Linked DNA regions of Drosophila melanogaster. The protein of the gene in region 1 interacts with the protein of each later gene in a pairwise test. Each region holds a gene or a part of one and is shown on either strand. Other genes may lie near its edges.

What was found. The genes of interacting proteins can lie anywhere in the genome.
Region 2: the proteins of CG15605 (region 1) and Rip11 interact in a two-hybrid assay, tested with the Drosophila melanogaster proteins (one large-scale study listed by BioGRID).

The regions. Positions count from the first base shown.
Region 1 is NT_033778.4:17,121,292-17,131,221, forward strand, and holds CG15605 (uncharacterized protein), read right to left. Parts: upstream 5,733-9,930; 5' UTR 5,669-5,732; coding exon 5,210-5,668; 3' UTR 5,119-5,209; downstream 1-5,118. Other genes in the region: Spn53F (serpin 53F), read right to left, coding at 1,736-1,857, 1,919-2,936; Amy-d (amylase distal), read left to right, coding at 3,509-4,993; Cda9 (chitin deacetylase-like 9), read left to right, coding at 7,542-7,760, 7,867-8,591, 8,704-8,953.
Region 2 is NC_004354.4:18,642,889-18,653,342, reverse strand, and holds the start of Rip11 (Rab11 interacting protein), read left to right. Parts: upstream 1-5,775; 5' UTR 5,776-6,122; coding exon 6,123-6,153; intron 6,154-10,454. Other genes in the region: Ing3 (inhibitor of growth family, member 3), read left to right, coding at 380-479, 556-2,516; Hou (houki), read left to right, coding at 3,073-3,190, 3,251-3,810; Nup35 (nucleoporin 35kDa), read right to left, coding at 3,983-4,827, 4,887-5,037.

The DNA.
Region 1 (9,930 bases):
GGCTCTTAGTCAACATCCTTTTTTAATGTGACTGTGTATGCCCGAAGGATTTGTGCGTAATGAAAAACTGTCACGAAGGGCGAAGGATGAGCCTAAGCCATTTCGCAGGTATGTGTGGAGAAATTGAAAAGCGCTAGTCGAGATCCGGGGGAGCATTAAACTGGCAAATTTGTGACCAGGACTCGGGCCAGGACATTTATGGCCGACAGACGGCGACGACAGCGACATAAAAACGGCGACGCCTGCGTGATAAGCGCATAAATCAGTCGAAGGACGAAGAAATCCCTTACCCCAAAGCCTCGGACTCAACCCAAGACGTAACTCCCCATGTAGAAGATACTTTTTAATTTCAGTTTATATCTCGCTGCAATGTGGAGTTACTCGGGTAATTCGCTTCCCAGTTAATTTTGTTTTCATTTAGCCTAAGACTCCTGAAAGTTCACAGAAAATTAACTTTCTTGCTTACAAACTAAAGTCTCACAATTAATTACCACAATTTTCTAAGACTGATAAATTAATTTACTCTTATCAACTTTTTGGATGTTAAGACTTGCAATTAATTAACAAAGTTTTGATTTAACTGATTGTTTGAATTCACCTTATCATCGTCACTCTAAACGTTATCTCATTCTCTTATCACATTCAAAGAACAATAAATCATTCAAGCTACACAAATAATAGATAAAGCTACAACTATAAGAAAATTTAATTATTATTCAACGTCAAGGGTTTGCTGGACACATGCCAAAATGTTATAAACAATATATCACACCTGCTGATTTCCTGTAGTGACAAACCTACAAGCCTCTTCACCAGCAGCAGCAATCACTTTTCCAACGAATCATATGCGCAATGATCAAAACGCGAGCTGAATCCCTTATACCCAAAGGACAACGGCGAAGGACATTCTGGTAAGCTCATTGCTTATGCTCGAACACGAAGCAAATTCAAATTACAAATTATGTTTTCGTCATTGACCCAAGTTTTACGAGAGTAGCCCCTCCCTTGGAACACCCCACAGCATCCGATGGTCAATGTCCGCGCGGTGTCAACTATTTAGTTTCCGGTTTTAACTTGCGCCATAAACCGGGCGTTATGTGTCCGCTTTTATGGCTTCTAGCGACGTCCCGTCTTCATTGTTTCTTAATAATCCGACGAGCGTCTTCGGAGTGCACACGTCCTCGCATTAAGGATGTTTATGGGCCAGACACTGTTTCCACCGGGAGCTGGTGATTCTGGGGGTGGTGACCCCGACTTCTACCCGGCTAGTTGCATGCCGCACATACTTACGCTGCGCTGCAGTCATAAATGCGCTTAATTGGCAATTTTTGTGTGAGCGTGTTGAAATTTTTACACCCCACCCGACTCGACCGAAAGTTGCAGTCATAAATAGGAAATATGTTCCTGGAGTGCCGGCAAGTCCGTTGGCCAAGTGGGGGTATTGGTTTTTATGGGTCATGCATGAATTTGCCGGGATTTATATGCGGACTACATGACCTGGATTCTTATGGCGCACAACCAGTGCCATTCCTTTGGCTAATCAAAAGATATTTCGGGAGCCGAATGAAATGAATATGGCTCGACCACAAATGAACATTATCTTTTTAATACACGAAACGATTTACTTTATTATTCATAAACATTATAGCTCTGCAATAATATTTCCCCACAAACGGTGAGAATATAAAAATTACCTGTATTGCTCACAAATAATTTGGAATAATTTTGTTAATTTCTAAAAGCTTGTTACATGACCGGCAAAATATATTGATGTGTTGTCTATGATATAAAAAGCAAATGGATGAGTAGCCAAAAAATATTTCACCCCATTAAAGGTGTGTGTCAAACTACCATTGCCTGAAATAAAAAAAAAATAATAGAACAGTGTCTTTCAGGATTTTTAGATAATTAAATTTACCAACATCTGTACTTGGCGTACCAATGCCCTGCTCCTGAAACTCAAAGGTGACTACATGAATAACTCCGTCAATCCGAAAGTTGGTATTCCTGTGAAGCAACGTTGAAAATGACTTGCTGGGCTTAAATATATCCTTGATGCCCATCTTTTCAAAAGCTGGAGAGAGTTCTAGATCACTGTGTATCTTAAATTTCGGTATACCCACAAACACATCCATCATAGTGAGGTTCCTGGCAACGCTTAAGATATTCATGGCCTGCAGCTTCATTTGCAAGGCAGCAAGTCCATCAGGCTGATCGGGCTTTATCAAGAGCATTCGGAGATCTCCATGGGAAAAAGGCACCAGGACGGCGGTGGCTTTAAGATTCCCTAGGATGCCAAATGCAAACTTACTATCCTCGTGCATCATGGGTATCATAACGCTCTTTGTGGCATTTACTCGAAACTCCCGGGGATATGTGGCCTCCGGATTGAATGTCCGCTCCCAACTCAAATTGAAGAAAATGGCATTTACGAGAAGTCCTTGGCTGTTCGGTTTCCACCAGCTTTCTTTTACCACCTGCCCAATTTGCTCGCCCATTTCATGGCTGTAAAATGTATTAACCTCGTCTAGCTGTTCACGAGCAAAGGCGATATTACGAGCTCTTCCCTCTGTATGCCGCATAAAAACTCTATATTCCGTGGACATTTTCATATTCTGACGTACATAGAATCGGGTAAGACTCTTGGCCACAGGTGCCTTCTTCACACTCATGGCAAAGATTTTCTGTGTTTTCGGCTTGTATTCAGATAGATGGGTTCCTCGATAGTGCATAGCCTTTCGAATTTGCTCGGATTCATCTTCCTCCACGCCCACATAGATGAACAGCATGCTGGATCGTATCATCTCCGTCGAGAACATAATGTTCCTGTTCGAAAAGCTGTTCACGATGGCTGCGTAAAGTTCATCTGGCAATTGTGAATTTTTCTGAGCCCTGTAGCGTGAGATTCCTAAAAGGATTAGCAGTAGCACGTACATTATTTATAATATTACTTAATACTACTGTTAATTTGTTAAGCTAAGATGCCCACAATTTCAAGCGTGTAATTGAAAACTCTTTGCGTAAAAATTGCAATTCTAGAGGTGATACATGAGCCAATTACTGATGGTAATATCGATATATTGAATTAATTTTTACATACTTTATAAACACCACATTAACTTGCAGTATTGTGAAAATTAGAACAATATAAATTACTCCTTGTAGGCCAAAGTTCAGATTGATCACGCTTCTAGTGGCGTGCAAGTCAAGTGGCCAATAAATCTCCAATATCAACCAATATCTGAGGAATGCATTGTCTTGATGTTTACTTATGTCGAACTAATTATAATTAGCCACCAGTCAATAGGTCTGCGCCGAGCTAAGATAACACGCCTTAATCGCGATTTAATCAACTCAATACATACAAGAGAACGTAGCGACTTAGGGGCGATAAGATCAATCCGCAAATCACTCCCGGCAAAGCCGAATAGGTTTGGTCATCCTATATAAGCAGCTGCATCGACACACTTTTAATCAGAGTGAAATTTAGCTTCCACCTAAAATCATCATGTTTCTGGCCAAGAGCATAGTGTGCCTCTCCCTCCTGGCGGTGGCCAATGCCCAATTCGACACCAACTACGCATCCGGTCGTAGTGGAATGGTCCACCTCTTCGAGTGGAAGTGGGACGACATCGCTGCCGAGTGCGAGAACTTCCTGGGACCCAATGGCTACGCCGGTGTTCAGGTCTCCCCTGTGAACGAGAACGCCGTCAAGGACAGCCGCCCCTGGTGGGAACGTTACCAACCCATCTCCTACAAGCTGGAGACCCGCTCCGGAAACGAGGAGCAGTTCGCCAGCATGGTCAAGCGCTGCAACGCCGTCGGAGTGCGCACCTACGTGGACGTGGTCTTCAACCACATGGCCGCCGACGGAGGCACCTACGGCACTGGCGGCAGCACCGCCAGCCCCAGCAGCAAGAGCTATCCCGGAGTGCCCTACTCCTCGCTGGACTTCAACCCGACCTGCGCCATCAGCAACTACAACGACGCCAACGAGGTGCGCAACTGCGAGCTGGTCGGTCTGCGCGACCTTAACCAGGGCAACTCCTACGTGCAGGACAAGGTGGTCGAGTTCCTGGACCATCTGATTGATCTCGGCGTGGCCGGATTCCGCGTGGACGCCGCCAAGCACATGTGGCCCGCCGACCTGGCCGTCATCTATGGCCGCCTCAAGAACCTGAACACCGACCACGGCTTCGCCTCGGGATCCAAGGCGTACATCGTCCAGGAGGTCATCGACATGGGCGGCGAGGCCATCAGCAAGTCCGAGTACACCGGACTGGGCGCCATCACCGAGTTCCGCCACTCCGACTCCATCGGCAAGGTCTTCCGCGGCAAGGACCAGCTGCAGTATCTGACCAACTGGGGCACCGCCTGGGGCTTCGCCGCCTCCGACCGCTCCCTGGTATTCGTCGACAACCACGACAACCAGCGCGGACATGGAGCAGGAGGCGCCGACGTGCTGACCTACAAGGTGCCCAAGCAGTACAAGATGGCCTCCGCCTTCATGCTGGCGCACCCATTCGGCACTCCCCGCGTGATGTCCTCCTTCTCCTTCACGGACACCGATCAGGGCCCGCCCACCACCGACGGCCACAACATCGCCTCGCCCATCTTCAATAGCGACAACTCCTGCAGCGGCGGCTGGGTGTGCGAGCACCGCTGGCGCCAGATCTACAACATGGTGGCCTTCCGGAACGCCGTGGGCTTGGACGAGATCCAGAACTGGTGGGACAGCGGCAGCAATCAGATCTCCTTCAGCCGAGGTAGCCGCGGCTTCGTGGCCTTCAACAACGACAACTACGACCTGAACAGCTCCCTGCAGACGGGCCTGCCCGCCGGCACCTACTGCGACGTCATTTCCGGCTCCAAGAGCGGCTCCTCCTGCACGGGCAAGACCGTCACCGTCGGATCCGACGGACGGGCTTCCATCTACATTGGCAGCTCCGAGGACGACGGAGTGCTGGCCATTCACGTCAACGCCAAGTTGTAAACAACTGGGGCAAAGACCAAGGCCGAAAAGCCGAGCAATTACTTGAGATTATTCATTTTTAAAATATATATTATGCGATTATAACACAGAAAAAGGAAGATGGGCAGTAATCATAGTACATATTTATGGAAAATGCTTAATTTTATTGTACTTAAAATTGACCACAAATAACTGTTACGCATAATATGGCAAAAAACAACTTATGCGTGACCTTATTTAAAAGCGCTGCCTTTTCATCTCGGTATTCAGCGTGATTTGTAGCCGGGTCACCACCGGCACAATCATCTGGAGGCCAAGATGTTCCTCCAAAATCAGGTCAATCTCTTTGCGGAGAACCTGCTCAAAGGCGTCGCTCACATTGCGCTTCTCCACGATCTCCACCAGCGGCCTTGCGAGTGGATAGTTCGCAGCACAGGTGAAGAGCAACTGGAGGGCATAGCCTCCTCGCTCCCCTGCTCCCACAATGGCTCCATCTTCATAGTTTTGAGTGGACAGTGGAACTTTCAATTGCAAATTTGGGCGACGAGACAAAACCACGTAGGCCAGCCCCAAATAATGCATCGTTCGCACCTCATTTTCCTGCAAATCCCTAAAGTATCGAGCCGTCTCTACATGGTTCCACTTATCTGCCTTGTCCCTCTTTACAACTCCTGCCTTGCGTTCCCTTTGCGCCATCCTCCGGTAATTTTGAATTTTGCCTATTTCTTTTGGAAAATTGTTTGCTTTGCCTGGGATTCTGCTGGCCTCCCCCTAAAATTATTTGAAATGAAATGCCAGGCTATCTCGCAAGCCGAGATTTGCATAGTCCCATCAAAGCAATAACAGATGGATGCGATGATGATGGAGGCTTTCGTAAGACTTAAGATCTGCGTAGGCTTGGAAAAAGCCCCTTTCCAAAATTGAAATGCTCTACTAGAAATATTTAAAAGGAGACTTGGAGGAATTCTTATTTCCGCTTCCTAGATTAAACTAATCTACACCATTTTCTTAGGATAAAATACAAAATATGTAATTGTGTGTACTTTTCCGAAATGTATATTTGGAGTAAACACTATTATACATAAAAATGAAATACTAATTTAGTGTAGCATAGTAAAAACATAGGCCAGTACAAATTGAAACTCACAACCTTTCTTATAGAGTATTTAAAATAAAACATGTATAAGTTCGCATTAATACTTCAGCCGCAAATTGAGTTTGTTCGTTTGCTTGATTTGATTAGCCCAGATTTGCTGGTCTCAGTGCTATGCAAATTAGTTGTGTGATTATCGCGAAAATTGGCAAACAGAAGGCAATCCGAACCGGGGTGGAAAAACCGCCACCGCGTAATAGTTTTCAGCTTCAGACGTGCGTGCGAATTTTCTCTTTGGTCGCCTTCGGCACTTGGGAAATCTTCCACGCATATGAGTAACATTTTTATTAGCCTCGAGAAATTTGCATTTTAGAGCAGTTTCGGTCACGTGAGATGTTTTGATTAGGGCACACATGTGTCCTTTGGTGTGAGTTGGAATGAGGTTGGTTTAGTTATCTTTTCCTTTGATTTCACACCCCAACGCCCTTGCATAGTGCTCTTCCTAATGAGTGTTGATGAACGAGCGATGCCCGGTTCGCTATCAATCAGATTTCAATAAAGAACCCAACCCGGCAACTTCAATCTTCATTAGAATTCATCGTGAAGATGGTTTGATATAAAAACCCTACCATCGAACTCACTCAAACATGTTGCATTGCCCCTACAACGGAGTGTCGGAGTGCCGAGTGTCGAAACTTTCCACCCAGTTTTCAGCCTGCTTTTCCGAGAGTCCTTTCGGCTGACTGGCGGTTGGTTGGCCACGTTTGCGGCTCCTAGCCGAGATGGCAACGCCCAGGAACGTGACCAAATCGCATTCGGGGCGTGCACCCCGAGTAATCGGGAAACGGATGTCTGACTCCTCCGGCTCCTTCGACTACTTTCGCTCCCCAAGGGAATTGCAGATTTTTCCTCAATCTTGTATTGACTTTTTCCCACTGCCTGCCGGGATTTGAGGACTTCCACCCACTGTGTGATTGGCTGGGGGTCTGAGAGTTCCTTGTGCTTTGTTTTTGAGAGCTTCCTGTCGCTGTTGTGAAAAGTTTGTGAAGCACTTGTTTACGATTTGAAGTGCATTTTCCTGGCTGACTGGGGGATGGTCTGTCATAATTTGGGCTGCAGTCGGCGCCCATCGATTGCGATCTCCGGCAAGTGTGAAAAGTTTTCCACTTCAACTCGGCAAATCTCAGCTGCTAAGTTCCTTGGTTATGCTAATGAGACAAACTTTGGCCACTCCGAGATCGTTGGCATGTCTATAATTGAAAGTTTTGTCTCTTTTTGGTTGAATGAAGTTGGTATTGCTCTGCGGATGAAACAAGGTCACTTGAGGAAACCCCACCCAATTGAGCCACACCTTGTGCTGAACAAGCAAATCATATTTGGAGCCCCAAGAAACCGATAAGATATCACTTTTCCCTGAAGGTTATAAGAAGACCATCGAGCATCGATGGCTGAGCATAGAGTTCTTTCTAGGCCGGCATGAAGTACTCTACCTTGCTAATTCTGGGCCTAATTTTGACCGTGGCTCTCATGAGCGAGGCCAAGTCCAAGTCCAAAAAGCAGAAGAATAAGCAGAATGGAATCCTGCCAATGGCCGAACCCTGCAAACCCAGCAAGTGCAAATTACCCGATTGCCGCTGCTCCGATGCCGCTTTACCCACATCCAAGTTCCAGGGCAAGGAGAACCAGATTCCGCAGGTGTAACAATTTGTAACAATTTCTTAATATATTACACATTCCGTTGCTTTCGATAAATCAGAAATGCATCTTATAAATACTTATATATGAATATATTCTTTCCCAGTTCGTGACCATCACTTTCGATGACGCTGTAAATGCTGTCAACTTTGCCCAGTACGAGCTGCTTTTCGATGGATTAATCAATCCAGATGGTTGTGGAGCCGCCGGTACCTTCTTTTTGTCCCACGAATACACGGATTACGTGAGGGTGAATGCACTCTATAGGGCCGGTCACGAGATAGCCCTACATTCGGTGACCCATGGAGATGGCACCGATTACTGGCGTTCAGCTGATGTTCCGACCATCGAGCGAGAGTTTGGAGCGCAGCTCAAAATGTTAGAGACCTTTGCCAAAGTAAATCCCAAGAAGATACAGGGAATGCGCCTGCCGTTCCTCCAAATTTCGGGCAATAACACCTTTGAAGCAGCCCGTCGCTTGGGCTTGACCTACGACAGTTCCTGGCCAACGCAAAAGTTCAAGGATCCGGCCATGTGGCCGTACACCCTGGACTACAAGTCTAAGCAGGACTGTCAAATAGGCCCCTGTCCAGAGGCATCCATTCCCGGATTCTGGGTGAATCCCATGGTCACGTGGACCGATACTGAGGGCTACAGTTGCTCCATGATCGATGCTTGCGTTTACCCGCCGGAGGACGATATGGACGAGCTGTTCGACTGGATGATGGAGAACTTCAATAGGCACTATCTTGGCAATAGAGCACCCTTCGGGATGTATCTGCATGCTGCGTGGTTTTCGCGGGGTCGCAATTACTTTGGTGCCTTTAAAAAGTAAGTAACTATAATTCCGTGTACCATATACTACCTACAGATAAAGATAAAGCAGCTTTATACCTCAGGTTTCTAACAAATTGAAAATAACTACCCAATTAAATTCGCGCAGATTCATTAACCACCTGAACACCTATTCGGATGTGTATTTCACCGGAATTTCGCGAATGTTGGAGTACGTGAGAAAGCCGACGCTGGGCTCCCCGTTCAAGGACTGTCCCGATTTGCCGGAGGCGGAGTGTCGAGCGGTCCAGTGCCACGTCCAAAAGATGTCCACCGGCGAGGAGCGCTACATGACCGTATGCGACAAGTGCCCGTCCGTCTATCCCTGGCTGGACAATCCTCTGGGTCAGCAGCTCTAAGCCCGCCAGACATTCGCGCATAAAGCGTGTACACTGAAAAAAATAAAATGATATTTTTGAATAGAAAAATAGGTCTCTGCTTGGTCATGCAAAGGCTATAGCGCATTTGTTTTTCTTTGTGTACTTTGTAATGAAACTTTCGTGTTTTGCCAAGGATAACGGCTGACATTTCCCATCGCTAAGGCAAATTTACATGCACCGCATCACCGCCGTCACTGATAAATGAGCCCAAATTATGTTTCTGGCCGTGAGACGCTTAATTAACTCATTCAGCGGAGCAGAGCAGAGCAGAGCCCCCGAGTGTCGTCATATTTCATGGCTGCCTCCTGAATTAATGCGCCAACTTCCGGACCCTCACATGGAGTCCTGCTCTTGGGGTCCTGTCAATGCAGCTGCTACCTGTAAATGACGGTCCGCCCGTCTGGCCATCGCAGCAGCCATCGGTTGCATTTTTGTTAATGGACCTCTAACTAATGACAGTCCTTGGCTTGCATATCAGTCAGGGTCTGAGTATTGGCCAGAGTGGGGATCCTGTGCGGCCGCATTTTGCGGTTGCTGTCGCAAATTATGTATGCGGTTAGCCAGCCGAACCACCCCGTCCCTTGGGTAATGCTCGGTCCGAGTGGAGGTGGGCCAGCTGGCCAGGTTGGACATGGAAGCAACCGCAACATATTGGTTGATAGTGAACCGAGGAGTGGGCGGAATCAGGGGGCAATCGAGGGTCTTCTCTGATGACCTGAGTCAATTGTGTAAAAAGTCTCGAAAACGAGTGGGGGCAGAATTTTCTTGTGGACACTTAGCAATGCCATAAGGTGCAATTTTTATTGAGTGCCAAGTTAGGAGAATGCCAAGAGCTATTTAAAGTTGTCTTACAGAGATGCTTTTAAATCATATATATTTTATAATTGTGTAATTATATGCGAACATATGATCTTCAATTCAAAATGTGCTATAACAGAAATTATCTTTACGTAACA
Region 2 (10,454 bases), on another chromosome or scaffold:
TTCACAACTTTTGAACAGTAAAAATGTGAGTATATATTTGTTTTGAAATATATTCACATTTTTAGTTTTATACAATACAGCTTATAATATGTAAATAAATAATATCATTAATTATGATTTCCATTTATACAATTTATTTAAATTTCGAATTTCACCTTACAGGGTTTGTGTCGCAGCTATCCACCCTGAGTTTGTATCGCGGTTTCGAGTCGATTGCTTAAATATCGATATTATCGAGCACTACCATCCGCATCTGGGATTAACTTCGTTTCGCCATCCGGTCACACACATACCCGCAACAATACACGAATTTTCATTAATAAACACACAAAGTAGTTAAAATTTTGGGTTTACACCGCGGCCCATTCGCATCGCCATCATGCTTTACCTCGAAGACTATCTGGAGATGATCGAGCACCTGCCGCAGGAGCTGCGCGACCGCTTTACCGAGATGCGCGAACTAGATCTCGCCGTCCAGAGTAAGTGCAACCAGAGAATCCGAATCTCTGCTTTTCGCCGGATCACTAACCAATAACTGCTCCTTGCGGTGCACAGACAACATGGACTCGCTGGACAAGAAGGCCCACATGTTCTTCAAGCAGTGCAAGCGCGACGAACTGCAGCACGAGTCGATGGACACGGAGTTCCACAGCCTGCGCGGCGAGTACTTCAAGGTGATGGAGGACGCCGACGAGAAGGTGGCTATTGCCACTCAGATACACGAGCTGGTGGAGCGCTACTTGCGCCGCCTGGATAGCGAGCTCTTCAAGTTCAAGTGCGAGCTGGAGGCGGACAACAACGGCATCACCGAAATCCTCGAGCGCCGCTCTCTGGAGCTGGACGGCAACTCCACTGCAGCCACCGCCCTGCTGCTGAGCATGAACCAGAAGGAGAACCGCTACTACGGCGCCAGTTCGGCCAATACCATGGTGAACAGCTCGACGGGACACGCAACGGGTGCCGCCACTGGCTCCTCCGGCATTGCACTGGTCAGTGGTGCTGCCGGAACGGGCGGTGCCCTCTCCAGCATCTCCACCGCCCAGTTGGGCTCAAGTCAGCGCCACCGCAAGCTGGAGAAGCGGCGGGAAACCATATGCACGGTGCCTGTTCAGGAGAAGCGCGCCAATCTGAATCACTCACTTCCCGTGGTCGGTTCGGGCTCCACGACTGCCGCGGCAGCCTCATCTTCGTCCGCCACAACGGCCGCAGCAGCCGCCAGCCTGGCCAGCGCGACGACTGCCCAAACTCATGTCTCCAACCACATTGGCAGCATCGCCGCCACTCATCTCACCCTGCCTGTGGCCATGGGCGTGGCCGGCGGCAGTAGCAGTCTTGCCAGCAGCTCGCTTGCCACAGGAACGGGTTCGCTGGTCCGCCAACTGCCCACGAACCTTACCCACACCGTGCTAAGCACCTCGGGTGGAGCGACCGCCGCAGCGGCAGCGGGCGGCAACTCCACGTCCGTGGTCGCTGCTGGTACGGCCCACGGGCACGCCCATGTCAGTGGGCACTCGGCCGCCGGGGCCACAGTCACCTACAACCTGCAACAACTGGGCGGAGGAGCCGCCGCATCTAGTGCCATTGCGGCGGCAGCCAGCCAGGCGATCGTGGCCACACAGCAGATGCAGCAAGGCCGCCGCACGGCCAGCCTCAAGGCGAGTTACGAGGCCATACACGGAACAGCGGGCACCACCACCGACTTCTGGACCCAAGCCGGTCAGGGTGGACTGCAGCAGTCGACCGCTGGATCGGTGACAGTGGCTGCCGGCACAGCGTTGGCCACCGGCGCAGCTGGCGGTAGTAGCACCGGCTCGCATCATTCGCACCACTCACAGTCGCACCATGGCGGCCATGGGCACGGACATGGTCATGGCCATGGGCATGGTCATGGGCACGGACACCACAGCAGCAGTGGTCACGGCGGCGGGCACAGCAGCCACCACCAGGAGAAGAAGCAAAAGAAGAAGCTAACCACAGCGCTGACGTTGCCCACAGTGCAGCCGACGGCCGGCTCCTCGTCGGGCAACTCGATTGGCTCGTCGTCGTCGATTAGTCTGGAATCGGTGAACAAGCTCACCACGTCGGCGGCCCTGGCGGCGGCATCGGCCACGACAACCTACATGTCTGTGGGTGGACAGGCGCTGCTCGCCATGACCCCCGGAGGTGGAGGCGGAGGCAACTTGGCGGAGAGTTCCGCTGAGGGCGTGCCCGCCGGAATGATTGCCATGAACCTGCCCACCACCACGGTAACGCCCGGCTCCAGCCTGACCATCGGCGAGAACGGACTCGTGGTGGAGCAGACGAACGAGGGCGAATGGTCGTACGATCCCAACGAGCCGCGCTACTGCACCTGCAACCAGGTGTCCTACGGCGACATGGTGGCCTGCGACAACGACGCCTGTCCCTACGAGTGGTTCCACTACCCCTGCGTGGGCATCACCCAGCCGCCCAAGGGCAAGTGGTACTGCCCCAAGTGCACCGCCTCCATGCGGCGCCGTGGCAACCGAAAGAACTGAGGCTGACTGCGCCTGCTGGCGCCCCTCTTCCGTGGCGGGGGCGGCGGCGTAGGCACCTGGTCGCGTCGCTAGCGGCTCTTATACTTGTAAAGTGACAAATAAACAAATTCAAAGTATTCAATAAAGTTAGATCAGCAATAGAGCAGCTCTTTATATTCAGTTCGGAACGCAAAGGCGAATAGTGGATTGGGATTGCACTAATATATCTTAACTAAAGTAGTTTAAGCCAGCTTCTAGCTTAAATAACAAATTTAGGGTGTTTTCGCTACAATAATAATAAACAATAAAATATAGTTCATTCGATAGTTTGATTTCAAAATTCGCGCCCTCTTGGCAATCAAACAGCGTGACCATGCTGCGCTTGCTAAAGCACTCTGGTCACGCTGAACAGAAGAAAAGAAAATTTCCAGCGTCATTTGTGCATTGCAAGTTAGTAAACAATAAAAGCGCATAAACAGGGCTAGGAAAAGCGGGAAGACGATTAGGTAAACAGAATTCGACGCAAATCGGTTGGAAAAACGGCCTCAAGATTGGCAAGATACGCAAGAGCAAGAAAATGAGCTACAACGAGAAATCGGAGGCCATCATCAAGGAGGAGTGGCTGCAGCGCCTGGAGCAGTTTCCCTTCAAGCAGGCGGACATGAATCGCCTGATCATGAACTACTTGGTCACAGGTGAGTCCGGGTCACCAGCCCGCAGCCACAGCAAGCAGCTAATCAAGGGCTAATCCACAGAGGGCTTCAAGGAGGCCGCCGAGAAGTTCCAGCACGAGGCGGATCTGGAGCCCAGCGTGGAGCTGAGCAGCCTCGATGGGCGCATACTCATCCGCGAAGCCGTGCAGGCGGGCCGCATCGAGGAGGCCACCCAGCTGGTGAACCAGCTGCATCCTGAGCTGCTCGGCAGCGATCGCTATCTGTTCTTCCACCTGCAGCAGCTGCAGCTCATCGAGCTGATACGCGCCGGCAAGGTGGAGGAGGCCCTGTCCTTTGCCCAAAGCAAGCTGTCCGAGTCCGGCGAGGAGGCCATGTTTGAGCTGGAGCGCACCCTGGCCCTGCTCGCCTTCGAGAAGCCGCAGGAGAGCCCCTTCGCCGACCTGCTGGAGCAGTCGTACCGCCAGAAGATCGCTAGCGAGCTCAACTCGGCCATCCTGCGCTGCGAGCAGAGCGAGGACTCCACGCCCAAAATGATGTTCCTGCTCAAGCTGATCTTGTGGGCCCAGTCCAAGCTGGACAGCCGCTCCATTAGCTATCCCAAGATGAAGAACCTAGAGACGGCGCACCTGGAGCCCAAGTAGAAGGGCAGCGCCACCCCCTTCGACTTCTTTTGCTAATGCTATTGCTAATATATCTCCATTTAATAAGTATGTATATGTATGTATGCTGGATGTAGGCAGTGAATTATTAAATAAGTAGCCGGAAACTCCATCACTCCATCTATCCATCCATCCGACTTGCCATCAGCCCTTCTTACCAGCCGAATATCAGGTCCATGGCCTTGTCCATCAGACCGGAGCTCTTTTGCGGCACATCCTTCTGCGGCGATATGATGTTATCTTTGCGGGCCAGCTTGTACGACTGCTGGGAAAACGGTCGAATCGCACTGGGGCTGGTGGGGGGATCTCCTATCTCTGCATTGGGCACAGAGCCGATGTTCTCCTTATCGATCACCGACCTATCCGTGCAGCGCGACACGCCCACCATCACATTGCCGGCGATGATTTTTTCGTTGTAGTTCAGCGCCTTGTCGCTCTCGATGCGCGAGGAGTAGCGCACATACATCCAGTTGCCGTTCTGCGGGGCATGCACCACGTCCACAATGGTGCCGCAGACGGTGAAGTGCTGCAGCACCATGGAGCCGGCCCCCGGCGGGAACCCGAAGATGGTAACCCAAAAGTCGGATAGGCGCGAGTTGCCGCCCGTCGTCACGGATGTGCCCAGGCCTCCAGCTGGCGAGGCAGTGGCTCCAAGTGGCGAGCACAGTGCTCGCATCGAGGCATTGATGGCATTGGGCGCCCCGGGTGCGAACGAGTCATTCGTGTGATAGCTGCTCTGGTAGCTCTGGTTCGGTGACTGCAACTGCAGCATGCCAAGATGGTTCTTCTTCTTCGGGGTGACGGACTGTTCGCGCAGCGAGTCGAAGAGTCCCTGGGTGGGCGGTCCCGTCTGGTGGTGGCTGTGCGTCTGGCCGTGCGCGGTCGTTGAGCTGTTGGCGCCCACAGCCGTGTGGGCGCCTCCTTGGGCGGCGAACAGAGTGCGTGTGCTCAGAGCGGAGCGGTTGAGCTCGTGCGGACTGCTGCCGCCGGGCGAGGTGGCTGCGGGGCATGTGTTCATATAGCCAATGCGTACGAGCTGCTTGATGCCGGCTACTTACCGAAACTTATATTAGAGCGCCCGGTTTTCGGGGACAGCGTGTTCTTGTGCGGCGTTATACCTTGCGGATCGCCGAGCAGAAAAGGTGGCAGATACTGGGTCTGGTTGGAGCCAGGACTGTTGACCGGGCTGCCCAGATTCATTGGCTCCATATCGAATGCGAATATTAATTATAATAATTATAACGGCGAAAAACGAAAAAGCGTTGCATTAACAAGGACGCCACAGCTGTAATCGGTTAGTGCGACCAGGCTGGGCTGGGGTCGAAATGCTAGAGGTGGATGCCAACATCGATGTCATCGATGTTTTCGAAAAATCACAAACATCGATGTTTTTCAAAGAATCATCGATGTTTTTCCATCTTTACTGCGCATCGTAGGTTAAAAGTGTTTAAATTGTGAGTATAAATTAAATTTCCAAATTTTCCAATTTCCATTTATTAATAGCATATTGCAAATTTTCAGTGACTTGCTGGTGGTCTTGGCTGGCGTCGTGGAAGACGACACGTATATTTATGCATGTATGCATGCGTGCACCTGCTCGTATGCATACTGGCTTACTTTTCTATTGAATTACTTTTCTATTGAATTGCATTAATTAGTATATTTGATTTATAGGAGCAATTATTGGACCAGGGGCGGATAAAAACGTAGACGGCAATAAGCTTGTCATGTTTAGTTATAGTACTGCCTTTTTATTTAAGCAATTATAAAAAAATAATAATCTTTAAGTTAAGCAGTTAATTTTTTTGTTTTTATTGAAAACATCGATGTCCGCCAACATCGATTTCTCCACCTCTACTAAATACGCCGTTCTTCGCAGTCGCGCCGCGCAACTTGCACTTTTGCAGCTCCCCGACTGGCAGTGGGCACATTTCGTTTCCCCCAAACGGTCACTCTAGCGGCCACCTTTCAAACAACAACATCACGCGTCGCGTCTCCGTCTTTTTCCTTTTTTTTTTTACATTAGACTACACTACGTTCTCCTGGCGTTTCGTTCGTGTCGCGCGTGATTAAATTGGCAACTGAGAACAATAAGAAGAAATCACAGTGTGCGAGCAGCAACAAACACAACGATTAGTGTAAACAAAACACATCGACAACAACAATCCAAATTACAATATAGGCAAAGAAGAAGAAACGAAAGGCAGGACCTTCGCAGCAAGAGCGAGACAGCAAAGGATCGGGATCGGGAGAGAGCGTGAGAGTGCGACTTGATCAACGGGATACAGGGTGACATGTGGAGTCCGACGCACTGTAGTGTAACGGGTAAGTGGGGGCGAAAAGCGGGGGACACCCGTTTTAGTATTTGTGTTTTTTTTTTATTTTTTTTTTACGGCGAATAAATCGCATTAAAACTTAAACTCGTTTGTGCCGCGTGTGTATGGGTGTGTGGCCTGCGCCGTTGTGTTGGTGTGTGCTTAAAATATTGTCATGACGGTCGTGTTGTTCCTATTGCTTTTGCTGCAGACGTACCAATTCGAAATTTCACTTTTTCCCCACCGCGCGCTTCCTCCTTTTGCCATTGCCTCTTGCTCTTCCTCTTGTGTTTTCCTGACTCCAGCAATTGCCTTTTTATCAGGCTTTTCTGGCTGATAAGATAATTCCCTTGCTCGAATGCGCACTTACTCATCGCATTGCTAGAAAATTGCTCATGCTAAGCGCTCCCCTTATGTATTTGCATCGCCTTCCGCCCCTTGGCATTCCTTAGCATACGCCCATGGTGGCGCTTTTTTGGTGCCTCTTGTTTACCTTTGCCATTGTTTTCGTTTTGCGTTTTCTTCAGGGCTAAGTGTCAATGAGAAATCGCGAATTCCGATTCCAAATTCGTGACAAAACACAAAGCGCGCTCATTCTGCTGTTCCCAGTCCAGTGATTATGGAAACAAATAATAACTGAAAGCCAAAGCATAGATATTTTCATATCTCCAACATGGCCAATAAGACCCTTTAAGAAATGTTTTCCGCAATGTTAGTTATTGGTTGCAATAGTGGCCACTGGGCGGCCAAATGAGTAAATGAGTCACGAATTGTGGTTCAATCTAGAGCTGCGTGGAATTTACACAAATCAAGATGATAAATACACTGGGCTCCATTGACATGAACGGATCCAGCTTGTTGTGATCTTGAACTTGCCCCGCTATCAGTTAGTACGTTCTTTGCCTCAATTCGCTCGTTTCATTTATTTTGCATATTTGCACAGCGCACAGTGTTTTATTCCAGCAATTTGCGATTAAAACCCAGAGCCGTTGACGTCACGGCGAATGAGCAAACAAATCATCGCCGTGTGGCTCTCCCAAATTCGCCGAGTTTCGCCTTGTTTGTTAAGTTCATATGTACATATATACAAATGTACACGCACATAAATACACCTGTCAATATTTGCCAATTTCTTTGCGATGAGAATGAGATGAGCGCGCACGCTTTGGAAACAGCTGTTTTCGCTGCTGTTCTCAGGAGCACTCTGTTCCCTATCCTTTGAAATGCCATAGTGTTCCCACACAGAGAGAAATTGCGACTCAAAAGGATTCGTTTTTTTTTTTGTTGTCTCTTTTCAAAACGAAATACAAAACTATTAACTTATATATAGAATAGGCAATTCTGGACTGAAATATTTAAATTAAAGGCCATGTTTTTTTTTTTTTTTAATTATTGCACAGCTGCAGGCTTTGAATTCTACTTACCAGATTTGCTAGTTAAATTAAGAATTCATCTGAGTTTACCATGTTTACATGCATGTTTGCATGCCAGAGAATTTCTTTCACTGTGCTTTTTTCGTTTCCCCTGTTAGATCATCCAGCAAACACCTGGCGTCCCGCCCTCTTATTAATGGCTTGTTGTTTGGGGACCATTTAGTCTGGGAGAGTTCCTTATCGACTGCGAACTCCACCCAATTGGCCCATTGCGTGCCTTATTTTTAGCCGTAAATTCTTGGCCGCCACTTACTCACTCACTCACTCCACTCACTTACTCGGCTACTTACTCCAACTCGCACATCTACGGACACACCTACTGAATAAATGCCTAAAATACCTGAAAATGAAAATTCCTCAGCGGGAAATTGTGCAATGAGCGGCGGGCAGCCAAGCAGACCCAAACAAAACAAACGCCTAATTTTCCTTTTCATTTCCATTTTGGTTTTTGGTTTATGTTTGGCTTGCTTTTGCAACGCATTTTATGCGGTTGCAGTGAAAATCAGAGCGGACCAGACCGCCCTTTTTTTTATCGATAATGAATGGTGGCGGCACAGTGAATACCTGCTAACGCGGAAGCCAGGTACCAGGTACTATATAACAAACCTATATTTCTTGTATTTATACTGCTAAAAATACAATGGAACCGTGTGATACATACGTAGTAATCTGTTACACTTCTGAACCTTTTAAGCAAGATATTGTGTCGTTCGACTAAAAGATAGATATTCTAATTAAATTGAAAAATGATCTTTATGGCAGCTTCTACTGTATTTCCCCTACTATCACCGAATCGATAAGGAAATCAGTGCGATAAGAGCTGGAGCTGTTGCTAGAACTGTAGCTGGAGCTGGATCACCTCTGGTCACGTCAGCGGGCAGATGGCGTCTTGAGATTGTGTCCACTTCTTCCGCACCCTGCCCGGCGATGCCATCGTCCATGTGAGACCGTTTTAATGCGGCTCCATCGATGCACTTATGCGAAACAGTTACGTTCCATTGCTCGACCCATTTAGCCAGAATAGAACCAAACAAACCGAAGCGGATCGGATGGGATCGGGATGGGTCCGGGGTTTGGTCTTATGATCATGATGGAAGGGGGAGGGGAGGGGAGGGGATAGTGAAGAAAAACAGGTCTGGCATTGGATGGGATCGCTGGCCGAAAGTCTCTTCGCATCGCGGGTCTGCAATTGATTATTTTCCAGTTCCAGTTCTTGGCCAGTGGCCACATTCCTCCGGCGCTTGCCGAACCCCAGTCCCCAGTCACCAGTCCCCAAGCACCGAGCCCCGAACACCCGGGCACATCCTCCCCTGAATATTCATGCTGGGAATCTCGGATTCTTTGAGCCACCGGGGCATTTATATTCAAAACATGCCATGGCAAACAGAAGCCAACTGCAACTGAAATGCTAATCGCCTTTCGTTTGGGAAAACTGTGTTTCATGTCTTCTGCTGTCTGTTTTCCATTTCAAAATCGCACGGCTTCGTGGGTTCAATGCTTGCGAGAAAGAAATTGTTTATGCATAACAATAAAATGATTCGCTGTAAGATGGTGGGATCCCATTGATAGACCGTTTACTTTGATCGCCGCCTCTGTACATTTTCGCATTTTCGCACGATCCGCACACACCCACACACACATACGTATGTACATACTAATGTATGTATGTACATATGTGTGCAATGTTGCATTGCCTGCTCGATGTTGCAGTTGCAACATTAATTGTTGCTAATGCTTTTCATCAAACGGGATCTGTGCTGTAATGCGGGGCCATAAAGGCGAGGATTGGCCCCCAGTTAGGTGAGCTTGTAGCACGTGGTTAACCCGAGTTGAAACCCATAACCCTGAACTCCGCACCATGAACCCTTCATCTTTCGATTGGCGCACTCGTTAGGCAAGAGCCGTCCAAAAGTGAGTCTCGAGAAGAACTATCTTCCGAAATGGGAGCGCGAGCAAGTGGCTCATTAGCATGCGTGGTTGGATGCCCATGCCCCAAGGAGCATTGGCCTCGGCTAGCAGTTTGCTGTATGTATATACATATACTTGGCCACGCCCTCTCACCGCCCCCGAAAAAAAAAAAGAGTGCGAGAGCTAAAAAAAAGTGGAACATGAAAGTGCGTGCTGGGAATTTCACGTTTAAAGTGCGCCATAAGAAGCAGCAGCTATAGAAGCTCTTTATGATTGCGATGCACTATATCTGTATCTGTATCTGTAGCTTGGTCGAGGGCTGGCGGGGATGGGGCCCGTCAATTAGGTTTCACACACACACACACACACATAATCCCCTGACTTGTGCGATCACTTCATGCCATAGTTTCTCTTTGGGAAATGTTGGGGGGATATGAATGGAGATGCCAATGGAAATGGAAATGGAAATGGTCACCTGGGGAGCATCAAAGCACTGCATACTGCACACGCAGAAACCAGAAAAGCAGCCGGGAAATCAAGCAAACAAGCCAAGGCACACCGAGAAATGATTTCATTGAAATTAATTAACCCGAAAGTTGACCTCTCCCCTCTCCACCCATTCCCTCCTCACATTTACACACACACACATGTAGTGGCGAGTCAGAAAGGTCAACAATATGCGATGGCAGATGTTGATTCTATTGTCGGCCGTCTGTCTCTCTGGGGTCGCATAAAACACAAAACAAAGGTGCAGCCGCCTGTTTGCTTGCCTCGCCACGGAGGCTTTTAGCCATAATTGACTGTAAACTAGAAGGGGAGAAACAGGGGATTTAATCATCCGATTCAGTTACCCCCACGTACACACGTACCAATATCAGGAATCCAATTCCAGTAGCCCAGAATCGAAATCGAATGAACATCGATCGGCAAGCAGCGAAAGATTTCTCTTTTTAGCATCGAAGCCAGCCGT